3 linked regions of the Ovis aries genome follow. The protein of the gene in region 3 purifies or fractionates together with the protein of the main gene of each other region. This does not show direct contact. Links are inferred from orthologs where the notes say so. Each region holds a gene or a part of one and is shown on either strand. Other genes may lie near its edges.

What was found. Proteins that work in one complex are often made in the same cells at the same time.
Region 1: the proteins of U2AF2 (region 3) and HNRNPF fractionate together in Homo sapiens (co-fractionation; 3 studies listed by BioGRID, with this or other methods). This does not show direct contact. The link is inferred for Ovis aries from reciprocal best matches to the Homo sapiens genes U2AF2 and HNRNPF.
Region 2: the proteins of U2AF2 (region 3) and CPSF6 fractionate together in Homo sapiens (co-fractionation; 3 studies listed by BioGRID, with this or other methods). This does not show direct contact. The link is inferred for Ovis aries from reciprocal best matches to the Homo sapiens genes U2AF2 and CPSF6.

Annotation. Positions count from the first base shown.
Region 1 is NC_056078.1:13,135,149-13,138,648, forward strand, and holds part of HNRNPF (heterogeneous nuclear ribonucleoprotein F), read right to left. Parts: intron 3,398-3,500; 5' UTR 408-3,397; coding exon 1-407.
Region 2 is NC_056056.1:150,756,531-150,760,030, forward strand, and holds part of CPSF6 (cleavage and polyadenylation specificity factor subunit 6), read right to left. Parts: intron 3,401-3,500; coding exon of another isoform or gene 3,310-3,400; exon of another isoform or gene 3,295-3,309; intron 3,149-3,294; coding exon 2,959-3,148; 3' UTR 2,956-2,958; intron 2,876-2,955; exon of another isoform or gene 1-2,875. UniProt on the Homo sapiens protein: Component of the cleavage factor Im (CFIm) complex that functions as an activator of the pre-mRNA 3'-end cleavage and polyadenylation processing required for the maturation of pre-mRNA into functional mRNAs.
Region 3 is NC_056067.1:62,662,731-62,666,230, forward strand, and holds part of U2AF2 (splicing factor U2AF 65 kDa subunit), read right to left. Parts: intron 868-3,500; coding exon 788-867; intron 686-787; coding exon 563-685; intron 402-562; coding exon 303-401; intron 189-302; coding exon 1-188. UniProt on the Homo sapiens protein: Plays a role in pre-mRNA splicing and 3'-end processing. By recruiting PRPF19 and the PRP19C/Prp19 complex/NTC/Nineteen complex to the RNA polymerase II C-terminal domain (CTD), and thereby pre-mRNA, may couple transcription to splicing.

The DNA.
Region 1 (3,500 bases), on a different chromosome or scaffold from region 3:
ATTTCCAACCCTGAGAAGAACTGAATGATCTCTTCCTTGGTGCATCCAAACGGGAGTCCTCGAAGTCGCACGAAACCATCGTTGGCAGTGTCAGCACTGTTTGGACCACTGTGCTTCAACACCCAATCCATCTCGGTTCTGTGGGACTTGAACACTTCAATGTACCGATGTCCCATGCTTTCCCTGTCTTTTTTAAGGGCCAATTTTACATCATCTTCTGATTCAAGTTCAACAAAAGCCTCACCACTCTGCCTGCCTTCTCTAGTGTAGATAAAATGAACACCTGCGACCCCGTCATGGATCGTGCAGTCGGAGAGGAAATTCTGCACATCCTCAACAGAGCAGGACCAGGGCAGGCCACGGAGCTTGACCACAAAGCCTTCACCTCCCTCAGGGCCCAACATCATGGACACTCGACAGAGCAGACGTCAAACAAGCCCGGGTGCAGCTTTGTGTGGCTGAAAAGAAAGCAAAGACTACATAAATTTTCATTTAATATGTTTAACAAGAATATGAAACTAAAGGAAAACAGACTGCATTACTGCAATCACTAAAGTAAAAGGCAAGACAGTAGGTGAGAAGTCCTATTGTCTACTCAAAACCCCAATCAAGCGCATGGTAAAATTAAGACATATCCAAACAAACACGTAAGTCCATCAGCAGAGTATCAGTTATATGAGATGCAAACATAGAAATCAAACTATATGCCTCTCAGTTTCACACTGCCATGGCCTGGGTTCAATCCCTAGTGCCATAAGCAGCACAGCATGACCCCCCCCCCAAAAAACAAAATAAAACACATTACGTTGTTCAATGCAACACATACATCGCTGTGTTTCACTGAGGGACTAGAAATGGAATAGACTCTTCATTGTACAAGAGGCATGACAGGTGCCCCTCCTGACAAAGTGCCATGAAGTATAAGTGGCATCTGACACCCAGAGTCCAAGCTGAAAAAAGAGTAAAGGTCAAATCCATGTCGAAGGGCAGCATTTTGAAAAGCAGGAGCTGAGTCAGACACCAATATACGAATAACACAGACAATAAAAATACAGATAAGGCCAAAAATATATTCAGAACAGGCACAAGTATACAAAAGTTGTTTTATCGAATTGCCATTTGATATCAAGTATAACAGATGTAGCTATTAAGTCAGTGGTAAAAGGTGCCTTTTCAAAAAAATCTAGGCACATTATCACGCAGAAAGATGAAACAGAATCTTACCTCAGATGAATCCTAAAACTATCTCAAATGGCATGACATATTTACACTATTAGAGCAAAACATGGACAGATTTCTAAAAACCCCACAAAACCAGAAAGCATGAATGGTAAGAAAAAGAAAAGAAAACTGGTTTAACAGAGACCTGGTGAAGCAAATCAGAGCAAGTTCTAGAAATTTATAAACAAGGGAGTTGCTTCTTCTGTAGCTGAGCTCTTATCTGTGGCTCTGCCCTGGTCAACTCCACCCACCCCAAGGAATCTCCATCTTCATACAAACTTCACTGAACACTACTTTCCTTATCAATTAAGGAGATTTTCTCATTTCTAATCACCCCCTAGGATACTATCTTTCCTTATACCAACTTGCCTCCAGCTACTTGGCTTTGCTTTCCCTTTCAGTGAAATCTCATCCTCAAAAAGGCTTCTTACACGTCCTTCCCTACCCTACCATTAAACTAGGGCACATGTCACTCTGCCAAGGATCTCCATGGCAAGAAAAGAAACATTTTCTTATCTCCATCTCTTCTGTGCCCACAGGATTTAACCATTCTCGCTGGAAATCCTTTCTCCTCTTGGCTCTTGGTTTTCCTGTTAATTCCTTAGGTACTCTGCCTCTTTGAGTCCTTCACCAAGGTTTAACCATACACAATCACTGGCCCCATTTTTGCAGGTAACCTCACCTGATCCTTGTATTTCCAGCGTCAATTCTGGGCTCAGGACACACAGGTTCCTAGACTTAAGATTTCCCCGAGGCCAAGACTGGCCTAGACAAACTCCATTCCATAGTTCAACCTATGTACCACAAATCAACACCACTTTTTTCTGAAACTCTTCTATAGTATCCTGAAGCATAAATGGCCTTACTTGCCATCCAAAGGCTCTAGAATGAAACTGAAGCAATCTCTGAACAACTTGCAAGCCCTTAAATCTAATGAGCTCATTATTTCCTTGTGGGGGGTGATCCCATTCTCCACCCTAATCCTACTCCTAATCCATGCCTAAATTCTATTCAGTAATTCTTGACTCCAGCAAGTATAGAGATTTCTCCTATCTTGGTCCTTAGCATACTGCTTGAATATCAAATCATCATCATCTCTGTGCATCACCTTCATCCCTTTCTACTTCCAGTACCAACAAGCCCTTTCCAAGACATTCACATCTACAACTTTTCCAGTCCTTCCTACCAGCCCAATCTGTAGCTCTCTTGAGTGTAATTTTATGTCATTCTACTGTTTCAACACCTCAGTGGCTCCCCACTGTCTGGAACACAAATCATAGGGCCAAGGGGGTGCTCAGGCCTTGAAACTTTGACCTGAAACACACTTGCATTAGAAAGCAAACAAACCTTTATTCCTGTATTTCTGTGCCGGAAATGTGGCAGGCTCTCTGTTCCACTGGAATTGACACATGTAGTAATTATCTGTCTGAAGATAGCCCACCCAATCTTCTGTCTAGCTAAATCCCACTAATCCTTATACTCTCAGCTTAAATTTAACTTTTCCACAAGACTTTCTCCCCCCTCCACCCCCCGCAAATTAAATCTATAGTTCTATGATCCCAGAGCATTCTAGGGAAACAATTCATAATTTGTTTAAAACTCTTTGCAACTGCGTTGAGAGGCTAGTAGCAACAGACTTATCTGTTCAGTAGGTCACTGTAGTCCCACCCCCAGCACAGCAGGCCCAAGATTAGCAAGAGATTAACTGATGGCCACGTGGGGCCAACACTACCTTCTAGAATATGGCAGTCTGGTTAGGTTAAAAAAGACAAGCAGAAGGGGGGAGGGGAAGACAGGAAGCATAAAAGAACAAATATTTAAGAATTATTTAAAGTGCCCAAAACAGAAATTATAAAGCAAAAAAAGCACTTTTCCAAAACACATATGTACTTCTAATACATAGAGCAATATCCTTACTGTTGACCTCAGAATCCTCTAGATTTGGATTCTTCGCAGACTTTCAGTACTTAGAATATTAAATAAAACTTGTGAAAATAAGAGCTGGCTTTCTGCTCAACGTTAGATTTACAGCTAGTGAAAAAAAAATCTTAACTCAGGAAGTTTTCTGCATCAAGAAATGAATTATAAACTGAGAGATTTTCTTAAAATAGCTCACCTTAAAGAACACCGGGGGATGCCCACAGTCGAAGACACTCCAGGTAGGTAACGAATCGTCCTAAAAAAGAGCGACAAGGAAATTTTATCTTAATGCCCCAGCACTCCCGGAGCAAGCAGAGGCAGCAATCCCCTGGCTGGGACCGGCTCTGAGCTCCTCTCCA
Region 2 (3,500 bases), on a different chromosome or scaffold from region 3:
CGAAAAGCATGAATAGAAAGTATTTCTTAAATATCCTTTCATTAATCTTCAGTATACAAACAAAAGCAAAACCATTAACAGAAATTTGCTAAGCAGCGTTGTTCCCAACAAGTAATAACAGAAACATGAAAGAAAATAACTATGAAAATAAAATTTTTTCTGTAAAAACCATACAATATTAAAAACACTGAACTACTTTTGTTTTGCTCAGAGTGGCCTGAGAATTGAGGCAGAAATTACAGAATATAAAGCACAATATATTTACATGCTGAAATTCACAATATTGATATTCTCATTAAAATATTATATATTTGAACTTAGATATTAAATGCTTTTAGAAAAACTAATACATTTTTTAAATGAGAGAATGCAGTTAACATTACCAACAGTTCAAACACAAAAAAATTAAGATGGGACAGACATTAACAGCTTGCCAACATCATTAAGTTTCCAGTTAAATTAAGAACTTGCCCTTTTAGCCATTCATCACTTTAATAATAGGTCACATTATTGTTTTATTTGTATACAGACTTAACAGTGACATTCACTTCAGCTTCAAAATTACTCTTATTCCATTTAGTCCATTTAAGGTTTACATAAAAGTTCAAAAGGACTCATATTTTAAAACTTCTAAAAAAGGTCAATAGACCTTATTTTGATGGTGATTAAATGTGCAAATAGTTTTTATTTGCTTAAGAAAGTTTTTCACTTGGATATATTTAATCCCAATTCCCTCCCCATCCCATTTATTCCATGTCTACATCAGCAATAAATACTTTTTGGTATATAGCAAAGGTACAATATTCCAGGTTAACAAAATTTTTTGCACTGGAAATGCGTATGTAAAATTTTGCTTGGATGAAGGCACATAACAATATTACAACTCAATTCTGATTATAATGTACAAACAAAACATGGGAATTTTGGTATGGTACACATCAGCGATTAAGAAAAAATGCCAACAATATTTAGTTTGCAAGTTAAGAATTCATAGTTAATGTCTGAATGTAATGAAACTCAAACCATGATATAGTTAGGTGTACCCATTACTGGAATGTAATGTTAGTTAATTCAAGGTATTTAAAATTAACAATGGACTTTTCAGAAAGAGTTTACCTATTTATCTATGCTAGTTTAACTAAAACTATTAAGAAAGCCTATTAATTAACTTTGGATATAAACTGGTTCAGAATGCCCCCAATGGGCATGTCCAGTCCTGGAGAAGACTGAAAAGCTATGCAAGTTCCATTCTCATGACCCCAGTTAACTAGAAGCTTGTTGGTAACTGACAAAGTCTAAGTAAAAATATAACTTGAAGGACCTGTATCTTACTTTAAATGAAATGGCTGATGAACATTAAGCATTTCACTAAAGTGGCCATAATTCACCTAAAGCAACTGATGAGCACTGGGAATTTTTTTTAAGATGGGATTAGGCCCATTCAACTTGGGGAGAGGAAGGGGACTACATCTAAAAAATCTAATGTTTAATTTTACATGACACAATATTCAATTCTTACATCCAAGAACAGTATCAATTCCAAGAAGCTTAGTTTTAAAAGTAAAAAATATTTTGCCTTATATTAAAATGTTTTGAAAATTGTATTAAGTTTATAATACAGTACATGGAGAACTATTTTTAAATTACAGTTTACTATATATTCAAGATGCATATTCAAAATCCAAGGAAAAGTATTAAAATTTGCCTTTTCCCTTCAAAAAGCTCTTAAAACTGTAAATAATATAACTTATCTGTAAACCACAAAAATAAGATTTACATTGCTTGTTTTCTAAGTAGTATTACTTAAAAAAGGATCTCATTTGTTAAAATATATCTACTTAAAGAAACTGCTACTCTGTCACAGAATTACATGCAAGTCTTTGGTTTTGCTCATAACAATTTAAACACTAATAATTACTGAATTTTCAGTATTTCCCAATTTTAGTTATGGAAAAGAATCATGTAAAGAATAGTAACCTATAAGGGATTTGTTTTAGTCTAATTTAATTTGGATATGCCACCAACCTATGAAGAAAAGAATTCTGTTTACAGAATAACTTTTGTGTCACATGCACAAGCCTTACAGTGCCCTCCTCCCACTCTTCACATGAATAATGCTGTTCACAAATATAAAAATAAAATCACACGTGAAAATGAAGTATAAACAGACAACTCTTCCCGCTTTATGAAAAATGTACACAATAGTTTTTAAATACAGAAAAAAAAAGACAATGATTATGGTTTATGAATGAAACATCAAATAAAATTACTTCAAGGTTATTCTAACCTGAGATGTATGATTTGATACAACTTAAAATTCTCTATATGGAATATCTGAATTCATTTTAACTGAGTAACTTTCTTATCTTCTTCGCAAATCAAAGAATACTGTTTCTTTTCTTTTAAAAACAAAGCCCAGATGGCAGGAAAAGTGTCTTTTCTTAAAAAAAGTTTTTCTCAATGCTAACAAACCACCTTCCAACTAGCAACAAGTGTCAGATTGTCTATAAAATTTTTAGGAATAAATAAAGTTAGTTCAAGGAGAGAAACTTTAAATTTATTTTAAGTCCAAGCATATTATAGTAAGAATTAATTCATCCTTTATATTTTAAATCACACGCAAACTATGTATGTGATTAAGAGAATCCCAATTTTTAGATTTTAGAAGTAGACAATGAGTCCTCTTGATTATTTTCTTGCTTTCTTAGGATCATTAACAGTCTGAAACCTAAAAGCTGTTAACTCAAGCAAGCAATATTTAAGGATAAGAGGTCAAAATGTTTACCTGTCATTACTCACCTGTCATTTACCTCAGATGATTCCAGAAGATTAAATTCAGAACAAGTAGTTGGACGATATAAAATGTGGGTATATACTGTATAAACAATAGCCTTGGAGTTATAATTACTATTAATAATAGGTATGCTAAAACCAACAGGAACAAGGAATACCCACCTTCTAACGATGACGATACTCGCGCTCTCGGTCACGCTCTCGATCCCGGTCTCGGTCCCGGTCCCGGTGTCTCTCTCGTTCTCGGCTTCTCTCTCTGTAATAATCATCATGGCGATCTCTACTGCGGGATTTATGACGACGACTCTTTTCTCGTGATCTACTATGATCCCTTTCTCTTGATCGTTCACGTCTTCTAAAAGAAATTACTGGATTAATGCTCTCCATAATTAGCTTTAAAATTTAGTATTTTGATGTTTAAAAATACCCAAGGCAAAAAAAAACTTAAAAATACAGTTTAGACTAAAATATCCTGAACAGACAATAATGATTTATCAACTCAGCAACAAGCATGAACTAGAAATCCCATTTTAAAAAATATTCACCTAAAAATTGGGAACCAGACACACCATGGTAATACATCAGACCATCTATTATAACCAGGAGCCTAAAAGAGACATGCAATATTTACGGAATGAAAAGCAGAAAGGTAAAGTAGAGAAAATCTCATAGAACTTGTGTTTTAACCAAAAGAATATATAGAAGAA
Region 3 (3,500 bases):
AGCCCATACTTGCCGCACTCATCTCGCACATCCTCCACGATCTCCTCATACTCCTCATCGTCCAGCAGCTCCTCAGGCAGCACCATGTTCATCAGGCACAGCACCTCTGTCGGGTGCCCGCCCATCTGCACCTGCGAGCTCATCAGGCCGGGCACTTGCAAGGTCACAGGGGTCTGGTTGATGGTGCTCTGTGGAGGGGTGGAGGCAGGGGTCACGGGGTGCCCAACCCCGGTGTGGGGGGACCCGCCAGCACCCAGCCCCTCCCCGCCCCCAGTGCCCCGAGCCAATGGAAGATGACGTGCCAGGGGGCTCACCAGCGTGGCATTCTTGGCGCCCACACTCGCCCTCTGGACCAGCAGCTTCTTATCTCCCAGCTGCATCCCATTCAGCCCCGCGATGGCCTGTGGTGGGGCGGGGGAGGGGCCGGGGCAGGGAGAGGTGGTCGGGGTCAGAGCAGGCTGCGTGGCAGACAGGGCACGGCAAAGGGGGAAGAGCTGCAAGCCCCGCGCCCCGCCCTGAGGGGAGACCCCAGCAGGGCCGGGCGCGCTGGGGCCGGGCTCACCTGATCCGTGACGTTGATGTCCACGTACTCACAGAAGGCGTAGCCCTTGGAGAGTCCGGTGGCGCTGTCCTTGACCAGGTTGAAGGCCTTGAGCGGCCCAAACGACGTCAGCAGCTCTTTCACCTGCGTGGGCCGGGGCACAGTCAGGTTGCAGGGCGGGGCAGGGGGTGGGGGCCGGGGGTCGGGCCACGGTGCCATCAGTTTTCGGGGCAGGCAGAGGCCTACCTGGTCGTCATTCAGGTAGTTGGGTAAGCCCCCGATGAACAGCTTGTGCGCAGAGTCCGGGACCACGGTGGACACGACTCCTGGGGGGAGGGGAGTAGAGCAGACAGGTTGCGATTCCTGGCACGGTCATGACGGGGACCTGGGGGCTGTCTCCAGGGGGGCCCGCCTGGCTGCCAGCCCCCTCCTCACGACACCCGACACCAGCGGGCACAGCCGCACGATGGGCCAGGTCAGCAACCACACTCGCCCCAAGCTGGGGGAGCTCTCAGCCCCCAGGGAGGGTCGCAAACCACGGCCTCCCCTCCCCCTCGGGCCCCAGCTCAGAGCTCCTGCCCCCCCACCCCCTAACCAGGGCTCCCCAGGGGCCTCAACTCCCCGGGCCTGCCCACCCCCATGCCTCTGGGCCAGGTCCCGTGGGACCTCGGGCCCAGTGTTCTATGTACGTGAGGCTGGGCTGTGCCCACCCCGAGCACTGAGCTACGTCCGGTGGGGGCCCCTCAACAGAGCAGGCCTCAGGACTACCAGGCACCCACTGGCCACACCCCCTGCTGAGCGCCCCCGCCCCCCAGCCCACCAGGCTCTGCAGCGCTGTCCTCCAGCCCCCGGGGCCCACACCGTGGCCTGCTCCTGACTGCTTTCAGGGCCCACTGCGGCCAGCCACCTGGCCTGGCCCACCTCTTCGACCCAGCGCCGGTAGCCCGGAGGACCAGAGGGGCAGCGTTCCGCCCGGAGCAAGGCTCTTGGTGGGGGAAGCGGGGGCGGATGAGAACAACAGGCCGCCGAACTCCAGGCGGCCCAGCACGGGGAAGGGCAGGCCGCGTCCCAGCCACCACCAGCCTGCCGTGCTGAGGCTGCCAGGAGGGCCCACGCCAGATCGAGCGATGCAGACAGAGGCTCTGGGCTGGCGTGGGTGCCCAGAGCCCCCATGGGCTCTGAAGCCTCCCTAGGCCCCGCAGCATCGCCACCGCCTCAGCAGGAGCCCTAGCTGCCCAGCTACTGGCCTGGCCTGCAGACACCACCGGGCCACACAGGTGCACGGCCACAGGCCGTGCCCCTTCCATCCAGGGTCCTGAACTGTTTCTTCTCCAACCAAAAGCATCTGTTGAATTTTACTAAGTGCGTCTCCCTGGGGCTTTCCAGGTGGCTCAGTGGTCAAAAATCTGCTTGCAATACAAGAGACCTGGGTTTGATCCCTGGCTCATGAATATCCTCTGCAGAAGCGAATGGCAACTCACACCAGTATTCTTGCCTGGAGAATCCCACAGACAAAGAAGCCTGGCGGGCTACAGTCCACAGGGTCGCAAAGAGTCAGACAGGACTAAGGGACTATCACTTTCACCCCTTCAATAATCTGTGAACTCGACTTCTTCGTTGGAGTAGAAAGGAAAATCAAAATATTGTGTTTAGGATTTGCCTGGTGGTCCAGTAGTTGGTCCAGTAGTTAAGAATCCACCCACCAACTCAGGAGACAAGGGTTCGATCCCTGGCCCGGGAAGATCCCACTTGCCTCGGGGCAACTAAGCCCACAGAACACAACTGAAGCCCAAGCGCCCTCAAGCCCCACACGAGAAGCCACTGCCACAAGAAGCATCGCAACTAAGGAGAGTCCTCAAGCAGCAACAAAGACTCGCACGGCGAAAATTAAATAAAAAAAAAAAACTCGTCATTACAGAGAAACTTCTCTGGTTTGAGAATGCTTCACCCACATGCAGCATCTGGCTTCCTACCCCCTCCACAGCCCAGGAAGCACACTCCCCAGTCACTGTGGCTGGAGCCCCAGCCCTCCATGGAGACTGGAGGCAAATACTAGGAGAGGAGACCCGCCACAGTGAGAGCCAGGCTCCCACAAGGGAAGGATGACAGGCAGGCCTGCGTACAGGGGTGAGGCACCAGCTCTAACCCTGTACTACAGGACAGTCACGACACCACCGCACCCACAGGGAACCCCCAGATGGTGCCTGGCATGGCAGGCTTGGGCCAGCCTGCATCAACAGGATGGTTAGGACGCATTTGGGTCACCAGGAGGCACCGAAGCACATCCTGTGGCCTGATCCCCCAGACACACGTGCACAGAAAACACGGCAAATCAGCAGGTCAGGGCCTCCCACAAGCTCCAGAGACTGCTGGCCTCCCCCACACGCTCAGCAGGGACCAGAGAGGAGCCAGGTGGTCCCCAAGGGCCGCCCTCGTTGGGCCCCGCACCCCTGGCTTCATAAGCACAAGGACTGCTTCCAAAGCGCGCCCTTCGGTGTGAACCTCAGCTAGGACAACCCGTGCTCTCAACCCCCGGGGGCGGGGATGCCCCCAACACAGGCCCACCCTCGGCATAGCCTGCAGGTCCGGTGCAGCCATGTGCTGCTCCTGCCCGGTCTGAGGACTTTCCAGAAGGGCCTTTTATACCATGAGTGTGACAGGGCCCCCGACGCCAGCATCTGTGAGCATTCGGGCCAGAGTGACCGAGGAGCTCCACCAGAGACAATGTGCTGCAAAGCACAGCAACTCTCTGGCCCATCAGAGAGCAGCCTCTGGCCACCCAGGTCTGCTTCGCTGTCCACCTACCCAGACGGCACTGACCACGGCAGGGAGACCTGCTTCAAGCCAGGGGTCAGCGGAAGCCCCGAGACAGGAGAGCAGGGACAGCCGCCCGTCAGGCCCGAGGAGGAGCTCCACGGGCACGTGGGCGTCCACATGGGCTCTGGCGCGTGCACTGACC